Arabidopsis thaliana: one gene and its partner. The main gene of each other region encodes a partner of the protein of the gene in region 2 in a complex. Each region holds a gene or a part of one and is shown on either strand. Other genes may lie near its edges. The genes, in order: AT2G28060 and SnRK1.3.

Region 1 (16,218 bases), on a different chromosome or scaffold from region 2:
AAAAGGAGAAATAGTCACCTTGATTTCTTTTAAAAGTGAAGGTATTCCAGCAATCCCCAACAGTGAAGCAAACGAGACAAAAACAAATACCGCAGCAACTCTTGTCTGTAAGAAATATTTACACCGAACGATAATTGCATCTCTTGGTACTCAAATGTGACATGCTGAGAATGGTTTAGAAGACTTACTGCAACAGAAGACAAAGAGTGACCTAAGCCAGAATATAATGTGCCAATACTAAGTGTAAGAATCATGTAGAGGATAAGTCGGAGCCAATAGTATTTCCATTCTCTTGACATAACTAAAAGTGATCGCCATGTGAGCACTGCAACACGTGTAGCAGCACCGGCCTTTCCCTTGGATTTAAGCTGTGTGCCCTCCTGCAAATGATATAGGAAACAAAAAGAAAATTGATTTACTAACACATGTCTATTTACAGTTATGAAGCTATGATCCAAAAATTATCATTAGAAAATTATTACCCTTTCGGTAAGTTTTATTATCATAGCTTCGACAGAATCAGCATCTGCAGATGATTTATAAGTCGCCTCGAGAGTGCGAATAGCAACAGCAGTATCCATGTTCACTGCTGAAAAGTCCCCATTATCGTCCTGTCGTTTATATTTAGCTCATATCAGAAAACTGGCGTTACAAGAAGCTAGAAAGAAACAAAATCATATAACTCAAGGTGTATAATGGTGTATGCACCTGCCAGTTTTTGCACATTGCAATAATCCTATCGAAATCTGTGTTTATAGCCCGCAAAAAATGATCTGATGGACTTTGCATTATCGGGCACGGGAATCCAGCATTTGAAAAATGCTTCAAGGAGACAGACACATAACAAGCAAACATAATTTAGAGAGTGATCATTTGGCCATGATATGAGAAATTTTTCAAGTTCAAACAATTTATACCTGTAAGCAAGCCAGTGTCTCCCCAAAGAAGAGTGTGTTTCCATTTGATAGAAGGCAGATTCTATCAAACAAACCAAACACTTCGGTACTACTTTGATAAATGGTGAATACAAGAGTACATCCCATACTTGCAAGCTTTTTTAGTGTCACCATCATAAGCAGTGCCGAAACACTATAAAAAGAGCAAAGGAGCCAATTTTAGAATGCAAGATTTTACCTTTTAGTAGAAGGCAAATAATAACATAAGTCTAGAAATGGTTAGAACCTGTCAAGATGATAAAGAGGCTCATCGATGAATAAGATATGTGGTCGCATCACAAGTTCACGAGCAATAGAGACACGTCTTCTTTCACCACTTCGAAGACCCTTCATGTAACAATGACCACCGATCAATTTGTTTGCATAATCACTCAGAGACATGGCCTGTATCGCATCTTCAACAACACTCCTTTTCTGAAAGAGGAAACCCGGAAGCTGAAGCAACGCTGAATAGTACAAGAATTCACGAACTGTAAGTGAACCAATCAATTGTGTTTCCCTCTCAACAAATCCCTGCAATGCAGCAAACCAAGAATCAGAAACACATTACAAACCAAAAAGAAAAGATCAAGAAAACAATATACAATAGTGACTCACATAGGATCCATAAGGCATATGTGACTTTGAGCCATTCACAAACACCTCACCGTACATTTTTGCTGAAGGAGGCAATCTTCCTATAAAAGATGTGATTAGATCAAATGAAAAAACAAACTAACAATGAATAAACTGACAAATGACATACCAGCAAGAGCCCTCAATAGAGTAGACTTCCCGGATTTTGCAGGACCCATAATTACAGTCATAGTCCCGGGAAACGCATAACCATTCGAACTCTTTACAACCTTATCAGAATATTTTCTCTTTCCCTTCATAGTAACAGTCAAATCTTTCCAAGCAATAGAAGCACCAGCAATCTTTCTAACAACACCAGTCCCAGCTCCTCCTTCAGGAACAGGAGGAGAAGCCATTGATCCGCTATTCATCTTCGACAACGAAGGAGAAACAGGCGTTGTTGTAGCGTCATTAATAGAATCACCACCACCAGCTTCATCTTCCATTCTTAAATCAACATCAGGTGTGTCTTCCCATTCAGGAGAGTCTTCAAAAGATATAGGTTGTCGAAGAGAACCAGGTTTTCTTACATAGAAAAAGTGACTAGATGGAACTCTACTAGTAGGACTACTTGCAGAAGACGAAGACGAACGGTATAAATCCGATTGAGACTGTATCTCCTCCATCCTTTGACACCTCAAGAACACAAAATGTTCCAAAGAAACTACAAATTTTACAATAAAATGTTTAGATTCCATAATCAATGCAACCAAAACAAAAAGGCCAATAAGTGAAGAGACTACTATATATAGTAGGAATCAGTGAAGCACTATTAAAAATCTAAACTTTTTCCAAAAGCTCACTAAATTACAGTTTAGTGACTAGTGAGAAGTGATTCCTAATTAAGTAACTTAGTATAAATCATAAAAACCCTAACTTTTTTCAGTTTCTGCATTATTGAGACACTGAAACAGAGTAACTTCAAGTTCATAGATTTTCTCAGCAACTAAACGAAGACTAAGCAGGAGAAGAGACTCAGTTCGAGTTATGATGAGAACAAGATAGAGAAGGAGACAAACCTGGATCTGAGTGAAGTAAGATCCACAGAGAAAGACGCACAGAGACTGGAGAATCTCTTCTTGGTAGCAAGAGTGAGAGAGCTCTCAAGTGACGACGTCTCTCTAACCAAACCCTTTGGGTTCCGCAAATAAAGAAACAAAAAAATGGATTGGGAATTGTTTTTTGTTTTGTCTGAAACCAAATGCTTTAACGAATTACATAAAAGTGAGCAAAATTCCATTTTTTTTACCTTTTAAGAAAAAAAAATCATATTATTGTATAAAAATATAAACTTAATTTGCATAAAAAGAATTATTTATAGAAAGTATTGTGAAAATAGGATTTCTTAAAATTTGAAGGCACTATGGCATTTTTGCAGATATTATATTTTTCCTTTGGATTTTTTTCTTTTTAGTTAAGTTTTTCCTTTGGATATATAAAGTTATTTTGGGGCTTAGTTGAAGTAAAAAAGTTTTTATTTCTATTAGAAATTTTAAACAATGCCTATTTTCACAATACTCTTGTGAAAAAATGTCAATATAGAAAATAATTTAAAGAAAAAAAATACTAACTTCAACTTTAAGCTTTTTTGTTCGTTTAAGCTTTAGATATCTGAACAAAGGTTTGGCCTAGTGCTTTTCTTAATTATGCAAACAAATTGCTGACATTTTAAACGATATAATACAAAATTTTGAAATATCTTGCTCTTTTTTGGTATTAGTATCAGCTTTTCTTCTTTTTATTTAATGATATTAATTGAAAAGAAAAGAAAAAGAAAGTGATATTTGGTTATCTTTATAATCAAGCATGAAGAAACCAGCTACTTAAAATAAGAAAAAAATATTGTTTGTATGATAAATGGCTTACAGATTTTTTTTCATTTTTTCTCGATGTTAACGTTATTTGAGTAACTATTTACTATCTGAATGGGAAACACTATTTGGTTTTGTTGAAATTGGTGGCAAGTTTTAAGTGGGCTTGAAGAAGTAAAACGGCCCATACACAAATTTGCAATTATTTCCCTCTTTCCGATCATTTTCCTTGAAATCGTTCACGTGATCCATGATACTCCTCCTCCATTGCCACTCTATTTAGCAATTTACTCTTCTGCTCTCTTTTTTTTTTCTTTCTTTCAAGTTTCACCATGCAAAGACAGAAAATATAAGAAAATGCTTCATTTGGTATTCTTGGTTTTCCTATAAAATGAATATATCGACCTATCCAAGGCTAGTAGCTTGATTTTTGTAGTGGGTAACTTCAAAAGGAAGAGTCTCTCAAGACCAGGAGTTTGGTTCTCGGCGGTGGGAAAATGATTCATTTAGCCTGTTTTTGTTTGTAGTTCAAAAATCTACGTACCAAAACCCCGAAAATTTTGGTCAACCAAAAATAAAATCCGAACTATATAACTGCGTTATCATCTATTCGGCACTACATAGGAACTTGAGGTAACAAACTTAACATTTTCTTGTTTTTCTACTACAAGAAAACTGTCCAATTTTCGACCATGAATTTAGTCAGAAATTGGTCAAAAACAACCCTGAATAAAAGCAATAAAGAAGAGTTATCCAAAACTAAAAATTTGAATAAAAAAGCATAGAAAATAACACATACTTTTGCATTACATACGTCTTCATAAATATAGACACCAAAAGAATCAACACATCAGTCTTATTTGTATAATTAAATTCTCAAAATAGAAGAGAAAATAATCAAGGCGATATCTTGGACCGGGAGGTAACTTTAGATGAGGAACACTTAATGGAAACAAGAGGCTGATAATTTACAAACCGGCTCGGAGCGGATCTTGGTCGGAACCCTTTAGGCATACAACTCTTTACTTGTGTCCCATGAAAAATCTGATTCCTCGGATTCAATTTGACCGTGTCTTCGACTGATAAAGGCATCATCGACGAGCTTGGAACACTCTCCAGTGGTATTAGTCTCCCTCCAGCGTACAAGAATAAAAGGTTTAGAGTGATAATGACAATATGAACTCTTGTGTTGAACATTGGGTTTTAGTTTGAAGTAATTATTTTTGTTTTTTTGAGAGAGTTTGGAATGATAATGTGAGGGATATATAAGTGGGAGGAGATATACACTGGTTTAGGGTTAAAGTTCATAAATGGGCTCGTGAGTGATGGCTGGAAACATAAGAGAGAAGAGTAAGTAGGAGAGGACAGAGGCAAAATGGCTGGAAAATGGTATTAATCAAAATACGATTTTATATGTGTGATAGAGATACAAAAAAGTGTTGATGGGGTCGGGAAGATCAGAAAGAGGTAGGAAAGTCCGTGAGTTTCAGAAATTACAATCAAAGATCAAACATTTGTCTTTGCATTTATGAATTATGACACACTCACACGCAATTTTCTATATTTTCAAACTATTGTTTCTCTTGTTTTAAAATGGTTTGGAGATTGGACATGGATTTTTAAATATATATATTATTATGTACACGGTTGCATGGGTTTTCGGGACTATTGGATTTTGCTTTCTTTTGGATAACAAAAACACGATAAATATTTCATTAAACCATACAAATCTTCGATTGATAAATACATATACGAAAACATACCTAAGGAAAAGGAATCCATTGTTGTAGGATTTAGGTACCATGCGGTTTTCCAAACCATAGAGTAATCTCATATGTATTGAAATTTAAAAAAAAAAAAATACAAAGAAGAACTAAAAAACAGAAAAAAAAAACTAAGAAAATAGGGAAATTAAGTTGGAGTCTCTTTAATTTGTTTTTTTTTTGTCATCTAGAGTTATTTTAATGTTACCATGATGAAATACTTGATAAAATACAACATTAAACCGAAAGAAAACGAGATTTTTTCGAAGTTTAAGCCCTAAGTAAAAAAGTCATAAATAATACTACAAAGCAAGAGGAAAAAAGCAATAGTAGTTGAAATCCCACCAAAACTATAAGTCGCATAGTTCTTGAAGATTATTTGAAAGAAAAGTATCGCGGATGCCCACCACCAACCAACGATACACAAGTCCTCCTATTGAGATGAACAACAACCTTCAGATTTCAGAATTTTTAAGCTTTATAACCTGATAACCACTGCCCAAACTTTCTTTCGTATGTGGTGATGTCATAAATCGACAAGAAACAATAAACATTAAGATTATGTGCCTTCATTGGATCATGGACTGAAAATTAAGCTCTTCGATCAACTAAAACAAATTTATCATCATTGTTTTCATACTCGCTGCTAAGTTTGCAGGGGAGTATTAGAGTCCACAACTAAAACAAGTCCAAACCCAATGTGAGGTCTACATAAGTAGAATTTTAACAAGTTAGAAGATTCATATAAACAATTATGTAATGAGAACTATGATTGTAACTTTGAGAGAACTCTCTTCCTTCATCTTATGAAATATCAAATCTAGAAACATTGGCTTTTGGTGACAAACCTTAAGCTCCTTTACATTTTTCTCTTCTTTACATTTCAATAAAGCTCACTAGAACTATTGCATTTCTATCTTTATATAATAAGCTCAATGAACATCAATCTATATTTGTCTTAAAAATGTCAAATAAATAGAAGTTTCATGAAAGGACCAGACCTCGATCAAGTCTGAGAAGCATAGACAAGGAGTGAAGATTTAGTCTCGATAACACCATTCTTAAGAGACGAAAAAAGGTAAAAGATCGAATCGCATAGAATCAAAGAAATCTTCACATATTCAGAGGAAAAACAGCATGTCTAGCGAACACTAGAGTCGAACAAAAGCAAACCACCAATCACACATCCTTATTTGTCAATTATTTATTTTGGAAACTAAAAAGAAAGTTAATGAGTAAAATAGTTTCCATAAGAAGAAAAAAAATGTTTTCTGAGGAAAGAAAATGTTTTCGAAGGACAGCAAAGTTTAAGCCAATAAGCAAAACAAAAGCTGATGCTTGTCGCGACTGTGTTCGTCAAGAATCTCCAGGACGAACCCAATCTTCTCTCTCGAAGCTGTCTAAAATTAATCAATCAATCATTGAGCTAATCATATTCTAGGTTAAGTAAAAACAGAGTAAACCCTCTCTTTTTTTCTCTTTCTCTGCCTTTCTCAATTTCGTTTCGTCTCCTTCGTTCTTCCAATTTCCGTCTGATTTTATACGAAATTTGCATTGATATCGAAGTAAAATCGAATACCCATGATTCAAAATTTCATTTTTTATGCGACTGATTCCTCAATTTTGATTTTCCGGTGATTTCTAGGGTTTTCTATTAGGTGGGTGTTATTTATCATTTGATGGGTCATTTACTGATGATTTTGCAGGTTTTTGTTTTAAGGATTTGTGTAGACTTTCATTGCTGCTACGTTTTTGAAAGGGTAATTTGAAGGGCTTAGCTTCCCAAAGGTGAGAATTTTAACTCCAGTTTGGCTTCTGATATTGTGTTCATTGTTATGTATTTTTAAGCTTAGTAGTTGTGTTTTAAAGTTGTTCCAGTTTGGTTGATAAGTGTGTATGTGTGTTCATCAGATTGGGTGAGTACAGTTCTTTCATTGATATCTCCAGTTGATTTGTGGGAATTTTGTTCTGTGTGTATAGGATTTAGACCTCAAATATTGGATTCTCTTTAAGCATTTAAGTGCCTGGTTTCTTCATCATCACTTGATAGGAGGACTTTACAAATTTTATTCTGAACATGGAATTTGGTTAGCCGAATAACTTCGTGGGGATTAGTTTCTCGTGCAAGGAAATTCTTCATGGTTCTGTCTTGGAAGTGTTTGGAATCTTGAAGCTTGATAGATTTTCGATGTAGGCATGATGCGGTTTTCTTATAGGTTTAAAGGGTCTTTAGCTGAGATATGGTTCCTATGGTGTGTAATAGGTTTAAAGGGTCTTTAGATGAGATAAAACTGTGCAAAGAGTTCATATAATAAATGGTTAAATCCTATATATTATCTGTTCAGTGTACATAGAGAAGAATTAGCTGTGGAATTTGGATGTACATGATAATAACAATGTAGTTTATGTCTTCCAACTTGTCTCTGTTGTGATAATGATCAATGTGTTTCTATTCTAACTCCTGTGGTCCATTGATTTTTGAATCCTTTGTCCACCTTAGTACTTTCTTCGAAGAAGGCATGGGAAAATATGATTCTCTGGTCCAACTTTCTTAAGACTGTCTGCATCTTTGGATCCTTAGATTTGTCTACGGGATTATGAATTATTTGACTTTTGATACCGATTAGACAAAAGTCTTACATTTCACACAAATAAGAGTTTGCATCATTGTAGAGAACAACATTGTTTTCATTTCTGCTTCAGTGTTTTTGAGTTGAAATGTAAACACCTCTTTCTCTTAGATTAGTTTGAATGGCACTTGAGCTGGTGTGACCTACATTCATTTTGATTGTTTACTTTGCATGCTATTGCGGTTTAGTTATGATTATATTTTGTTTCAGGCACTAGGTGGCAATCTTATCCAAGATGAACAGTCAAAATCCTGATGATCATGTAAGCCAGCTAAAACACCTTTTTGCCTTCAACCAACTAATCGAGTAATTTCCAGTCTCCCGCTCGATTTTTCAATCTTTTATCGTTTTCTTAAACATAGGAGGACACAACGGTTGTGGGATTTGAAGTACCTGTATCACCGGTTTCAAGTTACAACAATGTGTATTCCTCAACCGAAGATGAGACAAGAGATCCTCCAGCAGTACCGCCACACCTTCAACACTCTCTATTAGGCAATCAGGGTAGCATGGAACTGGCTTATGCGCCACAGAATGTTGTCCTGAACCACCTCTATATCGAGAACCGAGACGCCCCAAGATCTGTTGTAGCACTCGGTTTCTCGCATCGGTTCAGGACTAAGTTTGTCACTGTGGTGATATACAAGCCTGTCCAAAGAAGAGGGAGCGCCAATGTTTGAATAATGATACCTCTTTTTAAGTAGTGTTGGGAATTTGCTTCTTTATGGATTGAATTTGGTATACAAAACCATCTGGTCCGTACTGAATTTTATTCTTCTCTTACAGATTCGATTTAGACGGTTTCTAGGTACATTCGATTGAAATCATCTTCTTGTTCGGAGTTTATATAAAATCTCCATGCATTTTTATTTTTTAGGCCCAAAAAAGCTGATAGACGTGGGCATTGTTTGTTTGTAATAACTCCCTTAGATTGGGTTTAGTTAAACGAGCCCAAATATCGCTAATGAAGTTCTTTACTTGCTCATATGTAGTGTTACCATAAATTATTTAAATCTTTCGTAGCTCCAAAAAGGAAAAAAAAAAAAAAAAATCTTAATCAAAACTTTCTATGTCCGAGATAAGTTACCAAACTAATGCTCTAAAACTGGATTGGATCGTCGGATCAATGCATTAGTCTAAAACTGGATTGGATCGTCGGATCATTGCATTAGTTCGGTTTGAATGTAGATCACTTATACTCTCGTTGTTTTTAATTAAGTGTAGTTTTAAGGTTTTTTATTTTTTTTTAATATAAGTGTTGTTTTCACTTTTCTATGCAAACATTAAATGTATTTAATAATTTTTAATTAATTATATTTTTTTACTGGTTGGATTAGTTGTAATTAATGATGTTTTTATAGGAAAAAGATAAATTAAATAAAATTTGTATGTTTTCTTAATTTGTGTGCAAAAACTTTAAACTACAAATATTCAGTAACAGAGGGAGTATATAAAAACAAAGTTGGTTTGTGCATGGGAGCTTATTTGCACAAAATTGATTAAAAAATGGGTTCTGGATATTAATAAGACTATGATTAATATCCAGAACCCTATATTTTTTTCAATTTCATCGAAAGTTTCATCAATGTAACGTTAAAACAAATTATACATCTTACAACCGTCAGAAACTACTTTAAATCCATGATATCACATATATGAAACTAACATTATTATTTGAACAAATTAAAAAACATTATATTACGCATTATAACATTGAAAAACAAAACAAAATAACTAATATAGAATAAAATAAATTGTATCCGGATTGGAAATTGCTTATCTGATATTTTTTTTAACCGTATTTTAACTTAGAACAAAAAAAACAGAGTGTAGGGAAACATAAATTCTACCAAATTCGAATATATAAGAAAAACATAAAAAAAAATTAACAAATAAATTAAATAATGGAAAAAGCAGATAGGAGAGCTAATGGTTTAGTGGCGAATCTAAATTCTGTCCAAAGAATTGTCTGACCTCCCCTAGCTCAACATCTTGGGAAGAATATTAATTTATCCGTTTTGTTCATCCGCCTAAAGAGATAATTTATCTGCAAAGTTTTTTTATATTTGTAAAGTCATTCGGTTTTGCCAAGTTTTACTAGGTCTAGGTAGATTAAAAAGTAAATTCGGTTTGAAAGTTATATTTGGGTTGGATTACTGTCCAAGTTACGGGTATACCGGTCCAAATTCAATAACACATCCAATAAAATTTTCGATCTTAAAACATCTTCTTTGACCTGTCCGGATAGGTAAATGTCTAAATCTCTTTTTGAAATTAGGTATGAAATCTCATAGAACTAGAATGTAACTCCAAAATGATTCTTGAACATGAGTGTGACTAGCCAAGAGCATACCAAATTTAAGATCATTATGATATGTCCAAACTCCAAATTTAAGCCACACTTATTTTCTCAAAATTATACAGAACTATGATTTACTAAAATTGGATTCTCTGTCTATTTTTGGTATAGCTATTATCCTAGTGAATTAGCACAATGTTATTATATGCGCTCTCTGCTAAAAGTAAAAACCAGCTATCTTGTCAAAACAAAAATAAAAAGTTTCTTAACCAACACATGAAACTGATAAATACTATATAATATAAAATTAACATATATCGCTATCAAATCATATATCGTAGGTCCATAATCTTTCTTTTAAAATTCATATGAGTCTTTTTAATTTATTAATTTTGTCGTGCTCATAATGTTTTCCCTCTAAATCCTAGTTTTTGTAGTTTTCTGCTATGCAGGTATTTGTAAACAACTTATATTTTTGGAAATTTGGACTCTAAAATATAGAAAAGGCTATAAAATAAACACTGTGATGTGGCATATGTGTTGTACACCTTTGAATCTGACAATAAATTACTCGATCTAGTGTAACTTTTGCATATGAGATTTTCTTTTGTCGTCTATATATTACTTTGTTTCAAAGTTTAATAATACAAAAAAAAAAGTGTCTTTCATTTGATTTGTTGACACAGAGCAAAGCCAATGAGGATTCGAAACGTTGTAATTAGTACTCATAGTTGGCTGACTTTGTCTATCGACATAATGTGTTGCTTCTCTCATTATGAGATTCCATTAGTACAATTTTTTTTTTCGGCGCATCAAAACATTTCTATTAAATCGTTTTTTTTGTTCTCATCGAATTTGGTGATGGGTTAAAATCCAAAATCTTTAGACGAAAAAGCAATGATTTATTCCATTAGCATTATACATTTCATTTTCACATTGAATTGGAAAAGTAAAAGAAAGTGAAGAAGAGGGGACCAGACAGGAACTGGGGTGATAGAGTTTGGTCCATGGCTCTGTCCTTGAGCCCATTGGTCACGTGGCAAGGAGTGTCTTACTGGTGCACTTTTATGAAACAACCATGAGTGTCACGTGACGTACCATTGGGGCTATTGGTCCACCTCAACCTCATTGGAGCCATGTCATTACATTTATCCTGTTTACTTTTCTCTTAATAAAAAGTTTATAAGATTACAAGTTTTTGTTAGAAAAAAAACACACAAAAGAATTAGCCTAGAAACTAACAAAAAACAATGACACTGGACATACATTTGTCGTATGCTTAGGACAATGAAACATGCTTTAATCTTCTAAACGAATTTAACAATTTCATGATATATATTTTTTTGTATATATTTTATGGATTTCACGATAGGAAGATGTCTAAGCTATATTTACAAAAAAAAAAATGTCAAAGCTGATTGTTTAACCCGTTTATCCGAAACCAAAATTAACGATATTTTTCGAAAAAAATTGTTTCTTCCAATTAAACAATTAATCAAAAAAATAGTTAAATTTATATGGGGTAAAAAAAATTTGTTGTGTTGTATATAGGTAGGGGAAAAGAGGTGGCTACGAAATCATGACGGTTCGAAGAGAACACGTAATAAAGAACGCCAACTTGTCAACAAAATCTGCACCTATCCACTTCAGACTGTACGGACTTGGGGTCCCTTTCAGGTGGCCTGATTCGAATCTCACCTTTAGATACTTTTCAATATTTTGGACAATGAAAATCAAATTTAATGGAAAGATACGAAATGTGGACTAGATAAGATATGTATTCCCTTACATTATTTTTATAATCTGCTAAATTATGAACTAACAGTTCATATTTATTGGGCTAAAGAATTCCAGTTTATAGACTAACTTTTATTTTAGTTGGTAGATATGATATAAACCGCTCAAGACATTGGTTAGGAATTAGGACTACACACGCGCTAAATTCACGTTGAGAACTGGCTGGCCCAGTGTCAAGTGGTTTTCTTTCGAAATTATTTGAATTTAAAACTGTTATAACTAATAAAACAACAAAATTATGAATAAAATACGAAAGTTTGTTATTGATAGTCCGATAGAAAAGCAGATTAATATCTAAAGCTATGCTACCGTTTTATTCAAATAATTTAAAAATCAAAATTAATCTCTTATAGTCTCATTAGTCTTGGCACACACAATTTTAAACAACTACTCTTCACCTACACCCGAAAAAGAGGCGTGAGTATTAGTGAAAATGGTCATTCTAGCATGTATGCTAACACGATAACAACGAGCAATGAGCAATTCAATGCAATCAATATAACCTATTTTCATGTAATTCAGTTTCCCTTTTTCATTCTCCATCAGTTTCACTTTTTAAAGACCACACACTCCAAAGGCATCTAACGATCCCAAAAATTACAAACTGGCTTTGTAAGCTATAACAAATTAACAACTACCAAAAATAGTTATACCTTTTTATTTTATTTTATTTTCTTCTAAATTCTGTTATTTTTCTTTTCTAAAATCTAGTTTAAACACAGTGACGTAACTTGGCAAGTGCGTATTGGTAATGATAAAAATATTCCCATGATATTATAGTTTAGTGTTAGTAGTCTAATAATAATTGCGGTAATCCTTTTTCCAAGGGTTTTCAAAAACTATCTTTACCCTAAACCAAGTAACCTTTATCGAATAGATAGTGGACAATTATTTTATAAATAATAATACTTCAAAAAAATAATCCAGAGACCAGATCCTCGTAATAGCATCAGAGTTCCTTGGGTTCAACAAAGTACTTCAAACCACCTGAATAGTGAAGAGTGAAGACCATACTTTCGAGTTTTCTATATTATCAGTAAACATATACAATACACAAATATTAATCTGGTTAAAGTTACTAGTTAATTTTTCAAACAATTGGTATATATATGGATTTGCTTTTCCTGCTAATCGAAATAAATATATGATTAGTGGGGTATATAATTATATATATAAATATATATAGCTTTTACTTTCTTTAAATAAAAGTCGGGTTCATCCACTTTATATACTCCCTTTCTTTCAATTTATTTGATGTATAAAGGTTTGCCACAAAAATTAAGAAATCGTTGAGAGCAAAAATTAATATGCAAACCGCCAATATTAAAACTCCCAACTTCGAGAGAGACACGTCCAGAATCAAGCACCACACCCCCCATTTTGTTGTTTTCTCTTCAACTCTTACACATTGTATGACAAACATATTATAATAACTAACCAATGAAAATGGTTTTTTTACATGACATTTGGCAGGTAATTAAAGGAGGTCCGTCTGCTAATACTTTATTAGGTTAAACAAGTATGATCTATAAACTAAATTTACTACACATGGTAGAGTAAATGTAGTCAGGATCCTTAACTAAAGATTAATTTTATTCGTTATTATAGATGCCATTGAGAATTTGAGATTATAGGTTTTGTTTCAAGTATAATATAAATCTTATTATAATGTTTAATATAAGAAGCTAATACATATATGTATATTTGGGAATGTGGTTTTCGAACTTTGCTTGATGACAATAATTTTCTATTCGTGATGCACCAATCGTTTCATTTTGTAGACAGACATTTTTCATTGACCACTTTTAACACGTGAACTCTTCTCTTTCATTTCTTTAGTTCAATTCGAAATAAAACTGTTTGGACCATTTTCTTGTGTGCGTAAAATCTTTGTCTTGTAGATCTTTTGGTTTAAAGATCAGTTTGTGTGCATGTTTTGGCGGTATCATCGGTTTTGCTAACCTGTAGTACTTAGAGAAATTATTGTTTCTACTTTCTACTATGTACTCCATAGATTGAATTAATATCTTTTGCTACAGCTTTTCTTAGTACAAAAACAGGTTTAAGGTTCACTGTGTCCCGGGTTCAAATTTCTTTGAGAGATGATTAATTACGTCCTGTCGTAGTATTCATATGTGTACACATAGTATTTATGCCGTCTTGGATCTCAATATGTGTCAACAATCAATTTTTTGTATATATTAAAAACAACATTCAGATAATTCCTTGAATCTATATATTTTACTATCCCATCTATTTTTGGATATATATATATATATATACATATATATATATATATATATATATATATATCTAATTGCAATGCATCGACGACACCGGAGTAATGCAAGGTTCAACTTGTTTTGCAAAGACCATGCTAACACAACAACATTCCGGAATCACAGAAAAATCCGAGTAATTTTAAAGTGAATTTAATTGACTTACCAAAATACAGTCCATGAAATCAATACTGTGCCATTATTGCTTACCAAAAATACCATAACTTTGTTTCTAGTGAGAATTGAACTCAGGGCAGAAAAGTACATATTCTTTTCCCAAGACAATTTGGCAATGTTTTTCTTCTTAACCTAAATAGATTCAATTCAACTAAACGAATTACTAAATTATTACTCTTTGTTTTGCCACTCTCTTTTTAATTCGTCTTACCGTTTATCTTTAAGTTTCTCTACGTTTTTAAGTTGTAATCACTAAATTATTTTCACTACACTGTTAAAGGCTTAAAGCTTACCACCAAATGTTATTTAATTTCACTGAACTGTTAAAACTTTAGCTACTTCAAATTGCTATTCTTTTTGTTCTTTTTTTTTATAAGGGGCATAGATCCAATAATAGTTGCGCAAATAAGAAGAAGTTTACACATGTGAAGTGGGAAAGTGAGATATTCCTTCACGAGGTGGACTCCAAGATGGCAGCTCCTAACTCCATTTGTCCCAACTCTCTTTACCATAACTCAACTTCTGCCAATCAAACTCTCTTCATAAAATATTTATGCATATATTAACATTTAGTAACAAAAATTCAACATATGTATATATGATACCAAATAAATCAACATATATATTATTACACAGTCACATCTCTTACTGTGCATATATATTTAGACAAACACATCTCTCTCTCTCTCTCTCTCTCATCTGTGTTCTAGATCTCACCAGGTCTTTCTCTGGTTAATATATGGCTTCCAAGATCTGGTAATATGTTATAAATACGTCATACTTAAGCTTTTTTCAAATCAAAAATAGAAATTTGTGGGTTTGTCTCGTTTTACTATTTTAGCAGTATATATTAAGAAGTTCAGATGTTATTCGATCATCTGTTTTTGCTTCCCCTCTGCCATCTTTATCTTTTAGGGTTTCAATTCTTTTTCACTTTTTTCTTCTGGTTTGGAGATGGTTAGGTTCCAACTAAGTATACGAGATTAAATTTGACATCTTAGTTACTTCAAAATTCCTTCAATCAAAACAAGTCATCTCGACTATTCCGCCATGTTTGTATATACATATTTATATATTATATATATGAAGGTACGAGTTTCTAGTGTCTATAAATTAAGAAGGTTAAGTACCATATAGATGATATTTGTTAAGTAGTAAGTCACTCAAAGTTTGAGTTTGGGTTTGAGTTTGAGTTTGAGTTTGAGTTTGAGAGACAAAAGATTACTACAAGAAGATTGTTAAACAAAAATGGAAGACTAATTTCCGGAGCCACGGTCGTTGTTGGCTGCTGTGGCATCATCAAGATTCACATCTGTTGATGGACGGTGGTGATTCACTCTCCACAAAGTTCTCTATGAAAATGAGAATCTTGATGATGCTGCATCGGCAATCAACGACTATTCTTTCCCTCTCTCTCTCTCTCCCTCTGTATAGATTATTTGGATTCCATCCAGATCTTCTTCAGGTAGGTTTGTTTCTACTTGAAGTTTTTTTTTTTCACCTTTATGTTAACATATCCTCCCGTTTATTTTTATTTGTTATACATAAAGATCTGACAAAGAACTTTTGTGGGTATCTTGTTTCATGTGATAACATTGAGCATTTGATCTCAGGTTTTTGGCAGTCTTTATCAAGACATTAATAGATCCACAAGCTTCTATTTCAATAAGTGAACAAGAGTCACAACATCAAGATCAGTAAGGTAAGAGAGATCTACTTAAGGTAACTAATATATATGCCTTATTTCTTATGTTGCCAATCCCACCTTGCATTTCCAAAACAACACAATATAGTTTTGTTTTGTTAGAAACAAAAAAGGATATTATATATGGAAGTTGAGATAATATATATAACAGGTCTATATGGAACTATTGTTGTCTAGCAAAGAAAA
Region 2 (16,668 bases):
AGTAACAGCATAATTTTATTTATATGAAACTGTGACCGTGCTACTAGTACTACATCCAATTTAAAAGTGAAAACCCGTTCAACATCCAATTTGATTTTAAACACTACAAAAACTCCCACTATCATAATTTTGAAATTTCAACCAAACTTGTGAAATTCCTTTTTTGTATCTCTTATTAAGTTGAAAACAACCTAAACGAGAATACCTCAAAGTCTGCGTTATCTTCTGAATTCTGTAAGGTCGTTGTTACTTTACTGCAAAGATTAATTTCTGAATATCTTCAAATCCTTCTATTCTCATCTCTTCGTTCATAAATCATTTTGTAGGGTTGTTTCGAATTTGACTCGTAAAACATAATGATCGGAGCGTTAAAGGTTGGTGCTTGCTTGCTTCTTACGCTTCCCGAAGATGTGTTTTCTGTTATCTCTCACTTTCTTTCTCCAAGCGACATTTGCGATATAATCTTTTGCTGCAAAAGTCTTTGTGCCCTTGTCGATTCCGAGAAGACATGGCTTGTTCAATATGAAGTCGTTAAGGTTCTTCCTCAGTTTGAAATAGTCCAATGGCGAATCGGGATCTCTTCTTACAAGGTGCTTGTAGGTTTTTTGTAGAGGTGGTGAAGCCTCTTGTTGGGATTTGGGTTCAAAAGAACCCTGTAATTGGGATTTCTTATCCGTTGTTGGATGCCGGATAATTCCGCAAGAAGTTGGTCCTATGTGGATTCAAGAAGGACAACTTATGTGGTCGCCTGTGTTTGAGATAATATGCGGTTTTGATGGCTTGTTATGTACGAAAATATGACGCAAATGTTTTATTTTTTTTTTACTTAAACTGAAATTTCGTTAAACTCATATGTACTTTTACTTATTGTATCTAAAATTTTATAATTTTATGTACAGAAAACATATATTAGTAGGTGATCACCCGCGTTACGCCGCGGTTTTTTTCGAGATTTTTTTGTATTGTTTAATTTAAATATAATTTTTATTTATCTAATCTTTCACTCATGCAATAAGCAATTAGTTTTAGTATTAAAATTTTTTTTTTCTAATAACATTCTCAACAATGCATCATACACATAATTTATAAACAACGTTTGTCTTAAAGCAATTTAACAGAGGGTAGCGTTGGATTTTAGAAACCTAAGAATTTGATGATGAAGCTCCTTACGTATTTTTTTATCATCAGTGATTTATTATATAAATATCAATTTAAAAGAATAACTTACTCAAATCATTAAGTAATACATGACTATTATACACTCATACTTTGAGTTTGGATTACAAAAAAAATCTTCGAGTATGAGAAAACTATTAAAATGGTTTTATTGAAAAATCATGTAATATTAAATAAATTTAGTAATAGTACAATTAAATATATAAAATAATATAATATGTAAAATTAAATAATAAATATATCACTAACATATAAGTTAAAAGTTGAAGAGTTTACATTAATTATTTAATAGATACATGGCAAATGCTAAAGTAACGATGTCTCAATCATATAGAGAGAGTTGGTCAACTTTCATATATACGATTCTACTACCTTTACAACTTACAGACATCATTTTTGGATGATATAGTGCGGAATCTTTTAGAAATGAATTCATTTAAATTCTTGAATAAAACATCATTTTAACAATATATAAGATTATGGACTGTTCATGAAACTATCTCCATATGTATTATGGAAATATCTCCATTTTGCCCCCTCTCCCCCCCCACCCCACCCACCCCAAATAACATTATGCGTTTGTCATGTTATTATGGACTATTCGTGTAGAGCCGTATGTCGTGTTATTATGCTAGATCCGCCCCTGGTCGTACGTGGTACACTATATGTAGAGCCATTTACCGTGTTCTCATCGATGATCGATCCCAGATATTTATTGTGTGGGTAAAGCCATTAGTTATAGAACTTTCCAGAAAATTATTGCTCGCCATAAAAAAAAACTTTAAAATTTTACTAGTTAAAACGGTTTAAATTAGAGCATGAAAGAAATAAAAGGTCTACATCGTTATATGTAGTTTTAGTGAGCTCTTTGGTTGTGAAAAATGAGAGAGCCGAAATCTTTATTACATGAAACGATGGTTGAATTTTTTTTTGGAAAATGGTCTCGAGGTAAAGAAATAATAGCTTTAAAACTTCTGTCAAAAACTAATAAAACTTAGACTGGTAATTAAAACCCGTTCAACATACTATTCCATAATATTTAGACACTAGTATTTAAATCTTCAACTATAATAATTTTGAAACCACCTTGAAAAATTCCATGTGCACGTATTGTAGTTTTAAATTTTAAAACTACATTTAACGAAGTTGTCAAACAATTATCAAACACTTCGTCGTCTTTTTGCCTTTCTTGTTATGTTGAGGATTTCAACGTTTTCCTTGCGTACTCTGCTTTAAGATCTTTTATGATCTTCAGAAACCTCTATAACCTCGTTTCTTTTGCTTTCTGATTCAAACCAAAACCAGAATCCCAAAGGCTGTGTTTCTTGATTTCAAAGTCTGAATTTCGTAAGGCCGTTGCTATTTTACTCTTAAATTTGGATTTTGAGTACTTTCATAAATATATTTTATCATTTGTGTGTTTAATTACCTTGGGTGGTTTTGTTGCGAATTGGACTTTTAGTACATGATGAACAAGGAATCGTTTGGAGCTTGCTTGCTTCTTACGCTTCCCGAAGATGTGTTTGCTGTTATCTCTCGTTTTCTTTCTCCAAGCGACATTTGCAATCTAATCTTGTGCGGCAAAAGTCTTTGTGCCCTTGTCGATTCCGAGAAGACGTGGCTTGTGCAATGTGAAGAAGTAAAAGTTCTTCCTTTGATTGAACTAGTCCAATGGCGAATCGGGATCTCTTCTTACAAGGCCCTTTGTAGGTTTCTTGTGGAGGTGGTGAAGCCGCTTCTTGGGATTTGGGTGCAAGAAAACCCTGAACTTGGGAATGTTGTTTATGTGATGCCTGGTTTCTTGTCTGTTGTTGGGTGCCGGATAATTCCACAAAAGGTTGCTCCTTTGTGGATTCAAGAGGGCCAAGTCAAGTGGTCACCGGTGTTTGAGATAATTTGCGGCTTTGATGGCTCTAAGGGTTTTTTCCTCCATGGAAGAGACAAACAAGGTAGTTTCTTATACCCTGGTTTCGTTATGGACATCGAGAAGAGTTGCAATGTGCTTCTACTCGAAGTTGAGCCGAGGTCAGAGAAGAGTTCGTGCAATGAGATTGAGAGAGAAGTAGGGGATCCATTTGGAGATCTAGACTTCAGTGATAGAATGAACTTACTAGATATAGTGACAAAACATGTAAGTCTACGAGTCGATGAACCATTAACAGGAAATTTATTTCCCACCAGGTCAAAATATGACGAAGCGATGATGTTGGAACGCAGAAACATGCTCCTTAAAATGCTCAAATTTGGTGGAAACTGGAAGCACATAAACTTGGAGGAGGATGAGCAGTTGTGTTACAATCATATAGAGATAGACATAAAAAAATTGTTGGAAAATCTTGGTGATGACATTGACAACATGGAGGATATAGAGGATCAGATAGAGGTTACACCAAGGAAGAAGAGCTTTCGCCGGTTTTTAAGAAGTGGCATTAAACATATTCTTGGGAAGTTCAGTTCTTCAAAGATCAATTCGCCTTCGAGCAGTGAGACAAGACGTTCGAATCGCCAAAGCTTTCTCAGCTCTGGTAATACATTTTGCCTTAGTCTTAAAGCTTCATGCACTTTGATGTCTTCATATGAAGGGTGGCCAATCATGAGCGCAGACAACTTTTCCCTTCATAAACTACCAATGAAGAAACCTCTCGATCACGACGTGTATGCGGGTTTGTGGGGAGGAACGTTTGGCTGGCCCCCTGGGAAAGATATTGAAGATGAGTCCCTTCTCTTATTAATGCTCACTTATGGAGAATCTGAAGAGGGTAGTGAGAGAATTCTTTTCGGGACGAAAATACTCAGTTATTTTGCTGAGCATCCTAATGGATCCTCAATGTTTGTTGTAAATATTGACACGCCTTCCCTTGAGCCGTTTCCATTTGATACAGATGGAAGAGATTTCGAGCATTCTTACACGGGAGAGGGTATCGCTGACGGTTATGGATTCCGATACCCCGGTTCAAAACCTGGTTCCCTTTTCGTAAGCTCTAATGATCTTCTTGCATTCGTTTGGCAAGGAACTGAAGATGTGATTACATTGCAAAGAATAAACCTTGGAGAGATCTTGAAGAAGAGTTTAGGTTCTTGTGTTTCACCTTTGCTTCCAACAAAGAATTTTACATATACTAAAAGGTCTTACTCAAACGTGTTTGCCAAGTCATCGACCTATTCGTCTTCCTCCGAGTAAAAAATATTGTATGAAGAAACACATCAATGTTGGAAATGGAACACTTTGCAACAGATCTTGAGATAATAATTTTTACTATGCTTTTAATGTGTGTATATACCAAACAATGTATTGCAACAAAAAAAAAAAACTAAATTTGTGGAATTCTTTTTTCCTTGTATGGTTTATTTTACTTTGCAACACATTTACACTTGATTAACATTGAGCTTGTGAATAGTCCAACACATCTATGTAGTTTGAGTAATAGGTTTGATACTAAATCCAAACAGTAGCAAGTCCACAAGTGTATCCTTTAGCAGCATGTTTTATATTTACTACATGTGTAAATAACTAAATATCAATGATGATAATGAGCCTATTATATTGGAAATAGAGAAGACTTGTGAGTTTCAAATTTGTTGCAGCAATCTCCTATGATCTTCTTCGTTCAGGGGCAAACACATTGGTGTGACATTTTATCAAATAAGCAAAATTCAAACATGGAGGTAAAGGCGATACACATACACCTTTCCTTAAGAGCTCTCCAAGGTTAAGTCTTTGCAATGTCAACACAGCTTTAGTTGCTTTCCAAATGAACATGAGAAGACCTTTAGATGTCACGAAAAGTGTACCAGGTTTGTAACCAGGATACCGGAAACCATAACCCTTTGCAGTACCTTCTCCTGCGTAAGAATGCTCAAAATCTTCTCCATTTGTGTCGAAAGGAAAACCCTCAAAGGATGGCGAATCAATTTTTATAACAAACATTGCAGATCCATTAGGATGCATCCCGTAGTGAGTTCCTTCGAGTATTTTTGTCCCTATAAGAAGTCTCTCAGTACCATCTTGAGATTCTTCATAAGAGAGCATCAGTAGAAAAAAAGCCTTCCCTGGTTTATCTTCTGTACATTTTCCTGGTGGCCAGCCAAAAGTTCCTCCCCATAACCCGGCATACTCATCGTTAGCGATGGGATCCTTAATCGGTAGCTTATAAAGGGCATAACGGGTTTCGTCCATGTTTGGCCAACCTTGGTAAGAAGACAACTTAATATTGGAAGCTTTGAGACTAAGACCTATTGAATCACCAAAATTAAGAAACTTTTGGAGATTCAAAGGTCTAGTCTCACTTCTTGAAGAAGACATGTTCTTTGAAGAACTAGACCTCCCGAGAATATGCTTTATGCCACTTCTGAAATACCTACTAAAGCTCTTCCTTTGTGTCTGATTCTCAGCGTCCATGTTGCGAATATCGCCTTCAAAACCTAGATGCTTCCACGATTTGTTTATGTCTACCTGATTTGGAATATTTGTGCACTCATCCTCCAGGTTCATGTGATTCCAATCACCACCAAACTTGTGCATTTTAAGAAGCATGGTTCTGCGTTCCAACAACACCGCTTCATCATCTTTTGACGTAGGAAATAACTTTTCACTTGATAGATCAGGTACAGGTATACCAACAGTGCTTGTCACTATGTGAAGTAAATTCCTTCTATAACTAAATGGTAGTTTGCGAAATGGTAACTGAACCCCCGTCTCTACCAACAACACAGTCTCATCAATCTCATTGCACAACTTCTTCTCTCGCCTCGTCTCAACCTCAAGTAGAAGCACATTACAACTCTTCTCAATGCCCCTAACGAAACCAGGGTGCAGACAGCATTGCACTTTTCCATCTCTCCCATGGAGGAAAAACTTGGCGGAGCCATCAAAACCACAGATAATCTCAAACACAGGTGACCACATAACTCGAGCCTCCTCAATCCCCAAAGGACCAACCTCTTGTGGAATTATCCGACACCCAACAACAGACAAGAAACCAGGCATGACATAAACAACATTCCCAAGTTCAGGGTTTTGATGAACCCAAACACCAACAAGAGGCTTCATTACCTCTCCAAGAAACCAACAAAGCGCCTTATAAGAAGAAATCCCAATTCGCCATTGGATTATTTCAGATAAAGGAAGAACCTTTACTACTTCACACTGCACAAGCCAGATCCTTTCTGAATCCACAACGTCACATAGACTTTTGCAGCATAAGCTCAGATTGCAAATGTCTCTTGGAGATACAAAACGTGCTATAACAGCAATAACATCTTCTGGAAGAGACAGAAGCAAGCAAGTACCAAATGATTCTGACCCTAAATCGCCGTTCCTCATCTAACACAAATCAAATCGGTAACAAAATCACTAAAGATAAACACATAAATTTGATGATACTCAGAAATCAAACTTGGCTTTACAAAGTTTTACCTGATTCATACTTTGAAGATCAAAAAACGCAGCTTTGGGATTCGTCAAAAATATCAGTTTTGGTTTGAATCAGATCGCTTTTTACGTAAACAAGATTCAAACTTTTCAATTACCCATCAAAGAAGAACTCGATCCGAATCAGATTGTATAAGAAAAATGAGGAAATCGCTAACTAAGAAGACGATGCGAGAGAGAGACATTGGTCTTTCGTTGCAAGTTTAAAGTTGACTACACTGTTGAAGTCTTCCTAGTGCTTCTTTTCACTATTAGTAAGAACTTTAGGGACTAGTTTGAAATAATAGAATAATTTGCAAATGTCCTTTTCTCCAAAACACACTACACCACACCACAACGAGGCTGGAGATTTGTAGGATGGTTCTGAAATATTTGGGCCTTTAAATGGATACATATTGGCCCATTTAAGAAAAATATTAGCCCATAAGAAATGGTTTTGATTCCTTCAAAAGTTCATTAATTTTGAAAGCAAAGAATTGACATCGGTTTATATCGGTTGTGTAGAACAAGAGTTTTTTGATTTTTGTGTCTCGTAAAAACAGTCTCTAAACTACTTAAACCAAGTCAAATATTAGACGTAGAAATAAAGGTATTTTGTTAAACACGTTATTACGATGGTTTTCAAAGTGATGCTGATTGGTTTATATAGATGGGTTTCAATGACAAAAATCTAATGTTACAGTTTAGTTTTCTTTGTAATAAAAAATACTAGAAGAATAACGTACGCTACAATATAATACTGCTGACGTTACTTTTGACGATACTCGAGTGTTTTTGAGTCAGACACACTAAACGAAATTGGATAGACAATATGAGAATTCTAAGAGATGAGGAGAAATAAATTGTGTGTCTGACTGAGGAGTTTCTCGTGAAGCTCCATGAGAGTTGGTTGTGTATCTTTGGTCTTTAGTTTGATCAATCACCGATTTGTAATCTCTTAGAAGGTAAATATATATTCAACTTGATCTGTGATCAATCACTTTGCTAAACAGAGTTAATTGATCAAATGTGGTTTCATTAAATTATATTTTAGAAATATAAAAAAATCTATGAAAATGCATGTACTGTGTGTTTTTCAAACAAAATTGGCATCATAAATCGAGAAAGTGTAAAAAGTACATGCATTTTCCAAAACTTAATGCAAAAAAAAATACAATCTATCTTCTTTTTTTTTTTGTTTATTGTCAAGGATTACTTAATCCATAAATACAGAAACATAGAAAACATAATTGAATTTAAAACATTGAAGCAATAATCATCGAAAAAACATTGATGAAATGAGCTTTAGAGGACCTAGCTAACCGCAATAATCATCTAAAACACCAGTGATGGTTGAGCTTTAGAGGACACCTAGCTCTCTGAGAAACGCAACACATAGATCAAAGAAGATAAACTGAGGTCCATCAATTCTTAGGATGTCCAGCAAATATTTGCCTTCGCGTACTTTGTATAGCTATAACAACAACCAAAATGATACAAATTAGGTTTGCATTTAAGAAATTGCTCTAAATAGATTTTAACAATGTAAATTGTTGATAATTTTATATTCGCATCAAAACAAAAAAAATTGTTATTTATGGACTATTAAATTATAGTATAATATCTTAAATTGGATAAATATACCTGAATTTCAAATTTGATGACGGTCGGTAAGATGATGGCACATTCATCCTCAATTGTATGATTCTTATAGTAAGCAAAGCTTCGGACCCATCTACATTTTATATTGTAGAGTCCGATTTTTTTCCAGCATATTTTTAGATTTTGAAGAGCTTTAAAAATTTCAGTCATGATATCATAAGGACTCCCTTGAGACTGTCAAAATTCCAAACAATTATTTTGATATATATATTGATAAACTGTTTTGAATAGAAAGAAAATTAAGAAAACATGAGACGAAATTGAATGCTAAAGTAACATGAACAACAATGGATTAAACATTAACCATGCATGGACTAACCTGAAGTCCAAGGGTCCATGTTTTGTCATCTTTGACATTGGATTTTAGTCCATACAATGCCGAAAATGAATGGCCAACATGTGAAGTAATATTTTGAACTGGTAACGTCGAATTAAATATACCATCCTATATTTGTAGGATTAAAACGAAAATATAATTATATAGAGAAGTAATGTTTATTTATTTTTCTTAAATTCAGGTTGTAGAGAAAGAGAGTAAGTACCGAAATCTCTTTAAACTTGGATTGGAAAGGGTCATTGGGAACAGAATTTTGGTTTCGGTTGTCTAGGATTAGATGGTATGCAACTGTAGCCTAAAGTAACGAAATTTAACTTGAGTATCATTTATAAAACTATTTTGAGTATAATAGGATTATTATATGAAATATGAAAACACTCATACCTCGTTTTGGATTCTATTGGCAAGAGAATCAACAACATGGTTTCTATCAAACCCTATGTTAACCACGTTTTGAATTATCTCCTCCTCAATCTAGAAAGAGTAAAATTGATACAAAATTAACTGAATTCATAAAAATGATGTTATTTTGGTACAATTTAATGAAAACAAATTCTAACCTTTTTAGCTTGGTCTATGGTATCTAATGGAGGAATAGAAAGATAAAGAGGAAGATGATTATTGAACCAAGGATGTTGACGAATCTCAGTAATGCTAATTCTCATAGTAGGATCAACCATAAGCATTCTCGGTATCAAATCTCTAGCAAAATGTGATAAATGATTTGGAAGAGTATACATTCCTCTCTAAAGAAATAGAGAAAAAATTCATAACCATGTGTAATATATATGATTTTTATAAAAAGATCGTTGTTTATTAATACCTTTATTTTCTCGAATACATTAGGAATATTTTCGTCATCGAAAGGAAGAGTACCACACAACAGAGCATATAATATCACCCCACAACTCCATATATCTACATCTGGTCCATATGGTTTTCCTGAAATAACCTATATAAATAAGTTTCAGGTGTGAGTAATTGATACTTCAAATATATATCCAAATTCATGAAATAAAAATGAAGAATATGTTAATCTCTTATACCTCTGGAGCAGCATAATTAGGGCTTCCACAACTAGTCTTTAAAAAATGACCATCATGCATGACATTACTCAATCCAAAGTCAACAATCTTTATGTTGCATTGCGAATCCAAAAGCACATTCTCGGGCTTAAGATCTCTATGAACGATCATATTGCGATGACAATACTCTACACCAGATATGATCTGAGAATATATGGTTTAAATAAAAGTGTTGCCAATCGAAAAGGATATAAGGTTTTATGAAATACAAAATGTTTGGATAAATACTATATATATACCAAACCTGCTGAAAAAGATGACGAGCCTCGTCTTCCTGTAATTTACCTTTCTCTACAATATAGTCAAATAGTTCTCCAGACTTAACATATTCCATCACAACATAAATGTCATTTGGCGTCTCTATAACTTCATATTGACGGATGATATGAGGATGCATCAAAAATCTGAGAATTTTGATCTCCCTTTGTACTACAAGAGACTTAAACAATTTCATTTATTAAGATTACTAATAAATAACAACGATTATATAAGACATAAAGCGTAATATTTTTTTGCCACATAAAGTAGTCCAAAAAAAAAAACAAATCATAACAGTGACCTATATTAATGAACAGTCTTTCGGCTTCGAGACCTAAGATTCGGATAAAGTATTTTCGTAGAAAAAAACAGATTTTAAAATAAAAATATTTTTCTGATTTCTCAGTATTAAAATACAATCCATACCAAATAAACTTGTAATTATATTATCAAAACCAAAAATTATTGATCATGGTGGTTGCCGAAATCTCGTAGACCTATTAGATCTCGTGAAGAAAAATAAAGATACATCTATATATACATTTAGAGAGGTGTTATACCTCCTCTAATCTTTTGTACAAATGAAAAAAGAGTAACAAAATTGAAGTAAATAATACATACCTTTGATCTCAATACCCATGTTCTTAATCTTAGAGCGATTAAGAATTTTGATAGCAACTTTGTGACCAGTAGCTACATGCAGTGCTAATTTCACTTTCGCAAAGGATCCATGTCCAAGAGTCTTACCAATCCTATAATTTGGTAGAATCGATACTAATTTATTGGTAGTTTTTTCCGATGATCCATCCATTTTAATTACTATAGATAATAAAACCTGAAATATAAAAAAGAAATATATAATTAAACCTCTATAACAAAAATATATATCAAGGTAAAATATCAATAAAATGGACGGATTATGAGAAAAAAACTACCTATAAAATGAACAATAAAAAATAATTGATGGTGAATCTAACTAGAAAATCCACCAAAAGGTGATACGCCCCAAATCAAAATCATATTTTAGCAAAATTCATTTCGTTCACTATATGAATAGGTCCCCTAGTTGAAGGAAGAAATTTGTGGTTTGACTGATTGTCTAAACCGATAAAAATCAGTAAATTTTCATAAAATTCATAGATTTTGTTTCTAACAAAAACCTTCAAATTGAACAGAATTTTTTTTGGAAAAATGATTTAGACGTAGAAGACTCTTAACATAATCTTATAGAGTATGGTTGATGCAAGAAAAAAATGGAACCCATGATACAAATTATATGAGCATGCACACGAAAAATTGCACCACTAGAAAATTGAGGAAAAGTACAAGAAAAGAGTCTATGGGCACATATATTATCATCTTTCCTTTGTTTTTACTCTCCTTTGCTGAGGTAAATCTGAGTCACACTGTTGACTAATGGTATCACACTTTTTTCATGAATCATATTAAACAATAAATTAATTTACACACAACCATGTTAAGAAGTAGATCAGTTTCTGTTTTAACTTAATAGTAATTACCTAATTATGACAAAAATATAAAATATATTAGTAAAATGGTTAGATTTTAATATTTTATACAGTTTTTAGAATCTAATTATTCAACATTTTGAAGACAGAAATATCTTTCCTGATATACAAGTTGCCATTAATGTGAGTGGGTACTTTGACTAACCATACAATGAATATTTCTTTCTTATTTTAATTTAGAATATACATATATAAAGAAAATTTCCAACGGAGAATGTTTTGTAAGAAATTAGAAAAAATCAATGAGTTTTTATTGGTGAGATATTTAAATAGTAATAATAATCTTTAATTTGAAGTAGATTTACTAGTTAATACTTTTAAATATTGTGATTTAGATTTTTGTGATGAGAGATAAATTTTTAATACGTACTGAAAAAAGTGTAACACCCTTTTTACATTTCCATAAAAATTAGATTATACATTTAAAAAGATTTTTTTGTATTATAAATATTTTTTTATAAGTTATTATATAACTAAAACTAAAATTACTATTCAAAACCGCGATGAAATGTTCAAAATAGTGTATTTTTGTGGGAAACGAGAAAAGCCTAAGACTATATCTTCTTTGCATGCCCTTTCACATACACTAAAATATGGCTAGATCTTGTTGAAAGAGTCATTAGAACTGCCACAGACCCATAGATTAGCTGATTTTTTTTTTTTCAATTTATGTTCAGTTCAGTTCTATTATCACTATGAACCATTTTATCGGGTTTGCCAAAAAAAATTCATGTATGTAAAAAATTCGTCAAGATTTGTCTAACTTTTTATTTTTAAAGTAAAAGATAAAAAATCAATGATAATCGTTAGGAAATAGACAACACCATGGAGATGGTAAACAAGTAAACAAATAAACATTACTTTATTTGGTATATGATTGAAACAATTTATTTGGATTATTTATTAAGTCTGTTTTTTTTTCTTTTAAACTAAATTAGTTTTTTTTACCAAAAAAAGACAAATATAACTTCAAAGTGGAGGTGTATGCTAGAAAATAAATGGACAACAGAAAAAGACTAAAACAATACATTAAATTTGAACAAATCTGTATATGTAATCAAAAAAAATATCAGTGTGCCTCGTGTCCTCCTGAATCGCTAAGAAAAGGATTATTGCCACAAGAAAAGGATTATTGCCATAAAATTTTCAACAGAAGAGACCTGAATAATGTGTTGCAGTTATCAACAATCAGGTTCTCAACTAACACTTATCAATTAAAGTCTAAACAAAACCAAACATTCTATGTATATACATATAAATTTACACACACAAAGAGATATATGTATTCAATTAAAGATTTAGGAGGGTTTGGTGGAATTTAGAAAAACAATTGATTTGGAGAGATTTCGGTGAATTTTTAGGATATACTAGATTTTGACCCGCGGTATACCGCGGGGCTAGGTTTTTAATAAAATATGTTATATAGAATGTATATGTAGATATTTGTTTTATTAATATTGTTTACTTTGTTTAGTGTTTAAGATAATGTATATATAAAATTTAATTGTTTATATCTACGATTTCACCCGTAGTATATCGTTTCGTATTACTATCGATCCAAACCTGTCATACCATTTAATCATGCACAGTGAAATTAAACATATCTAATGGATTTCACTTGTGATATACCGTCTCGTAATACCATCGACCAAACCCGTCCTACCACTAACCTTGTTCAGTAAAACTAGACATTATTTTGTTATTTTTGTTTTAATAATACTTTAATTTAAAAAATATTTAATTCAAATCAATTTAAAAGTTTTCTTTCAAATGGTTATTTAATTGTTGTAAAGTTTATATATTATAATATTATAAACATGTCCTACCATCTAGTCCTACTATCTAATCATGTTCGGTGAAATTATTTTTTTATTTTTTTATTTTTTTTAATAATATTTTTATTAAAAGATTTATAATTTAAATCAATTTAAAGTTTTCTTTCAAATGATTATTTAATTTTTAAATATTTTAACCATTTTGGCAAAAATAATTAGGCCGTGGAATAAAAGCATATTCCTTTGAATAAGATTTGCTTTGATTTGGTAGTTAACTTTTTGCATTGAATAAGCTAGTGACAGCCATTGTAAATAAGTTCCAACTCCAGAATTCATTTAACAAAATGGCTGCAAAAATGTATATGTAGATGGTGGAGTTGTTGGCGCAGCCTAACCGTAACAAGTCCTAAGTTCGTTGATTCACATAGTGACCGAACAAAGAACAAAATTTGTAGCTCGTTGATTTACAGAATAGCTGAGAAACAAAAGAGATAGATGCTTTAAAAGCTCTGAATAATTCAATAAAAAAGCTGCCGTCTATTCACGTAGGAGAGAGGTTTAAATAGTTGATTACAAAAGATCAAACCCTAAAGCATAATGGAAAAGAAAATCAAAAACCTAAAGCCCACGTAATAACTAAACCGAGAAAATAAAGAAAGCCCATAAAAACAGAGTATGAAAGCTTGAATAAAAACAGATAATGAGAAAGATAGAAGATGCGCTGCATCAGTTGTAATATTTTTTTTACCTTTTGTTGTGAAAATTGTTTGTGATTTAATGAGATTTGAAGGAAGAACTTCGGATGATATAAAAAGATTTTAGAATAAAAAATGAACTCAAGAAAAGAAGAACAGCGAAACGATGAACAAAGAAAGCCTTCTATTGCTGCACCAATGTAATCTCATTATGTCCCATAAGAAAAGAAACGACAAAGTTCCCAATTAACAAGATGAAAAGTCGATTAAGATTATTGAATAATCCTCAATGAAACTTGACGTCGTCTGCTTCTTCGGTCACGGCGGCAAGACGAAAAGACAACCCCACTACTTTGGAAAAATCTCAACTCAATATGTAACCCTAAATATGTATGTATGTGTAGCTAAGAATTCACAACTAAACTATCCTAACTCCTAAGATCTCTAAAGACACAACTCATCTATCCTACATCTAAAATCATTGTTTTAATACAACCCCCTTTGTTATTCCTGAATCTGATTGTAACGTGATAACGTCTCTATCAATGTAAATTCTAATTTACGTTAAATCATGTTTAATTTTTCTTAATGACGTTTAGTATATATGTTCGCTTAAAGATATTAATTTGGTCCTATTGAACAAACAGTTTAATGGAATCGTTCTCATTTTTTTTTGTTATGTTTAATATACTTCAACTTGTAGGTTTTGACTTGGTCAAACTCTAACATGTCTCATTCATGTAAGATTTGTTGCTAAATCTTCTTGTGTCCGGTGTCCCACTTCCTCATAGTAAACTAGTTATCTATTTTATTTCGTGAACGGCAAAAATATATTGTATTCGAAAGAATCTTGTATTTGATGCTTTAGAATGAATCTTTATATACAAATGTTCAGGAAAAAGTCAGGCAAGGACTTGATCCAATGTAAAACTAAACTATAAAAGTCACGTCTTAGTATGTAGAGATGATTCTATTAATTACAAGTTTATTCAAATCTCATATCTTAACAACATCTCTTGAGAAAAAACTGCATTTGGATGTTGGAGATGTGATTTAAAGCATCGGCGTATCATATGTGCTTTTTTCTTTGGCAGGTTCTAGATAAAAATTGTAATAAAAATGGGTACATGTATGTCAACACATTCAAGAAGACTTAGGCCACGAAGGAAAGGCCGTCGCAGATTTTCTAAAAACATATCTAAAGTGTCTGATATTAGACGCCTAAGTGATGTTGGAATCCAAACCTCTTTTGGTGAGTATCAATGTAGCATTAGGATGAGAGTTGTGATATTGATTTCTTGTTTATCCAGAAAAAAAAGATAGGTGGTGAATGTTGGATCTTCGGTTTTTGTTGCAGATATTTCTCAAAACGATGCATGGTTTGATTCTTCAAGTCTTTTCTCTGACTCTGATGACGACTTTATTAGCCTACATGAAGGTAAATGTCAATCTATACATATATATGAAATGTTTTGGTTGTCTCTTTTTTTTTTTTTGGGTGGTATTGAATATTTGATAAAGTCTAGATTCTTTTCAGCTGATAATGTTTGGTTAGAGGGTGGCGTAATGGGTAAAATTCCAAATGGTCAAGTGGTTGAGTTTGAGGCTTCTTCATGCATTGTTGATGGAAATGGAAATTACGAAGAATACCATGAGAGTTACTTGAAGATTGATGGCGGTAATAAAATCGAGAAGTTTATGAGCAACGGTTTATATAAAGATACTAATGGTTTGTCTGGTATTATTGGAAACAACAAGAAGAAACTAAATACTTATAGTAGCTTTAAAGGATTGAAAGAGTTAGACCCTAACCCTAAAGAAAAAGCATTAAAATCCAATTTGAGCCGGTTGATGCCATTGCCAACGGTTAGTTTCAACGACAAAACTCTGAACTCCCCCACATCTCAAAACCGGAAGTCAGCGGTTTATCAGGTTTCTTTCAAGAGAAGATCATGTGATGGTGAAGAAGTTACCGAACATAGTAAGTTGTCAAATTTTTTACTAAACCGTACAACATCAAAACATGTATATATGCATTCTTATGTGAGCCTGTAATTTTAACATGTATATTTTGAAATGGTTTTTATATAAAGGGTCGTCGAAAAGATTGTTGTACCGTCCCAAAGCCGGATACACGATTCCGTGCTATGTCAAAGAGAAGCATCAATCATCAGGAAGTTGGTGTGAGATACCTCCATCAAACTTGAAGTTACGTGGCGAAACTTATTTCAAGTATATTCCTTAACTTCTATGTTTATATATACATATATGTATGCATTTAACCGGCTCTAAGTGGATGTAGACTGTTAATACAATGATAAATTTGTAGAGATAAACGAAAACACCCGGCTCCAAACCAATGTCCATACACTCCAATTGGTGTTGACTTGTTTGTGTGTCCAAGGAAGATTGATCATATAGCCCAACACATTGAGCTTCCCAACATCAAAGCTGTGGCAAACCTCCCTGCTCTTCTAATTGTCAACATCCAGGTAAAAACCACTAAGAAAGTTTCTTTAGATCAAAAGAGATGTGTGGTAAAGACTCTAATGAATTTGGCTTTTGCAGTTGCCAACTTATCCAGCCGCAATGTTTCTCGGTGATAGTAACGGAGAAGGCATGAGCATTGTACTTTACTTTAAACTACGAGAAAATTTCAAAAATGAAATCTCTCAACAATACCAAGACAGCATCAAGGTTAACCATCAAAGACCTAAAGACCGTTTCATTTTTTTTAAACC

Evidence for each region.
Region 1: SnRK1.3 (region 2) and AT2G28060 share a complex: the UniProt entries of both Arabidopsis thaliana proteins name them as parts of the probable heterotrimeric complex.

The regions. Positions count from the first base shown.
Region 1 is NC_003071.7:11,942,411-11,958,628, reverse strand, and holds AT2G28060 (5'-AMP-activated protein kinase beta-2 subunit protein), read left to right. Parts: upstream 1-6,375; 5' UTR 6,376-6,586; exon of another isoform or gene 6,587-6,851; 5' UTR 6,852-6,933; intron 6,934-7,985; 5' UTR 7,986-8,010; coding exon 8,011-8,037; intron 8,038-8,137; coding exon 8,138-8,455; 3' UTR 8,456-8,758; downstream 8,759-16,218. Other genes in the region: ABCG3 (ABC-2 type transporter family protein), read right to left, coding at 19-105, 189-380, 483-611, 709-822, 918-1,089, 1,183-1,469, 1,554-1,633, 1,702-2,197. UniProt on the Arabidopsis thaliana protein: Regulatory subunit of the probable trimeric SNF1-related protein kinase (SnRK) complex, which may play a role in a signal transduction cascade regulating gene expression and carbohydrate metabolism in higher plants.
Region 2 is NC_003076.8:15,775,978-15,792,645, reverse strand, and holds SnRK1.3 (SNF1-related protein kinase 1.3), read right to left. Parts: upstream 10,740-16,668; coding exon 10,550-10,739; intron 10,100-10,549; coding exon 9,915-10,099; intron 9,815-9,914; coding exon 9,632-9,814; intron 9,538-9,631; coding exon 9,409-9,537; intron 9,332-9,408; coding exon 9,146-9,331; intron 9,060-9,145; coding exon 8,970-9,059; intron 8,881-8,969; coding exon 8,791-8,880; intron 8,694-8,790; coding exon 8,568-8,693; intron 8,423-8,567; coding exon 8,231-8,422; intron 8,061-8,230; coding exon 7,947-8,060; downstream 1-7,946. Other genes in the region: AT5G39470 (F-box family protein), read left to right, coding at 181-239, 375-536, 614-694; AT5G39460 (F-box family protein), read left to right, coding at 2,642-4,357; AT5G39450 (F-box family protein), read right to left, coding at 4,769-6,499, 6,593-6,601; AT5G39430 (DUF1336 family protein, putative (DUF1336)), read left to right, coding at 15,047-15,179, 15,285-15,365, 15,465-15,908, 16,021-16,159, 16,257-16,419, 16,496-16,624. UniProt on the Arabidopsis thaliana protein: Catalytic subunit of the probable trimeric SNF1-related protein kinase (SnRK) complex, a central regulator of cellular energy homeostasis, which, in response to seemingly unrelated darkness, sugar and stress conditions, activates energy-producing pathways and inhibits energy-consuming processes.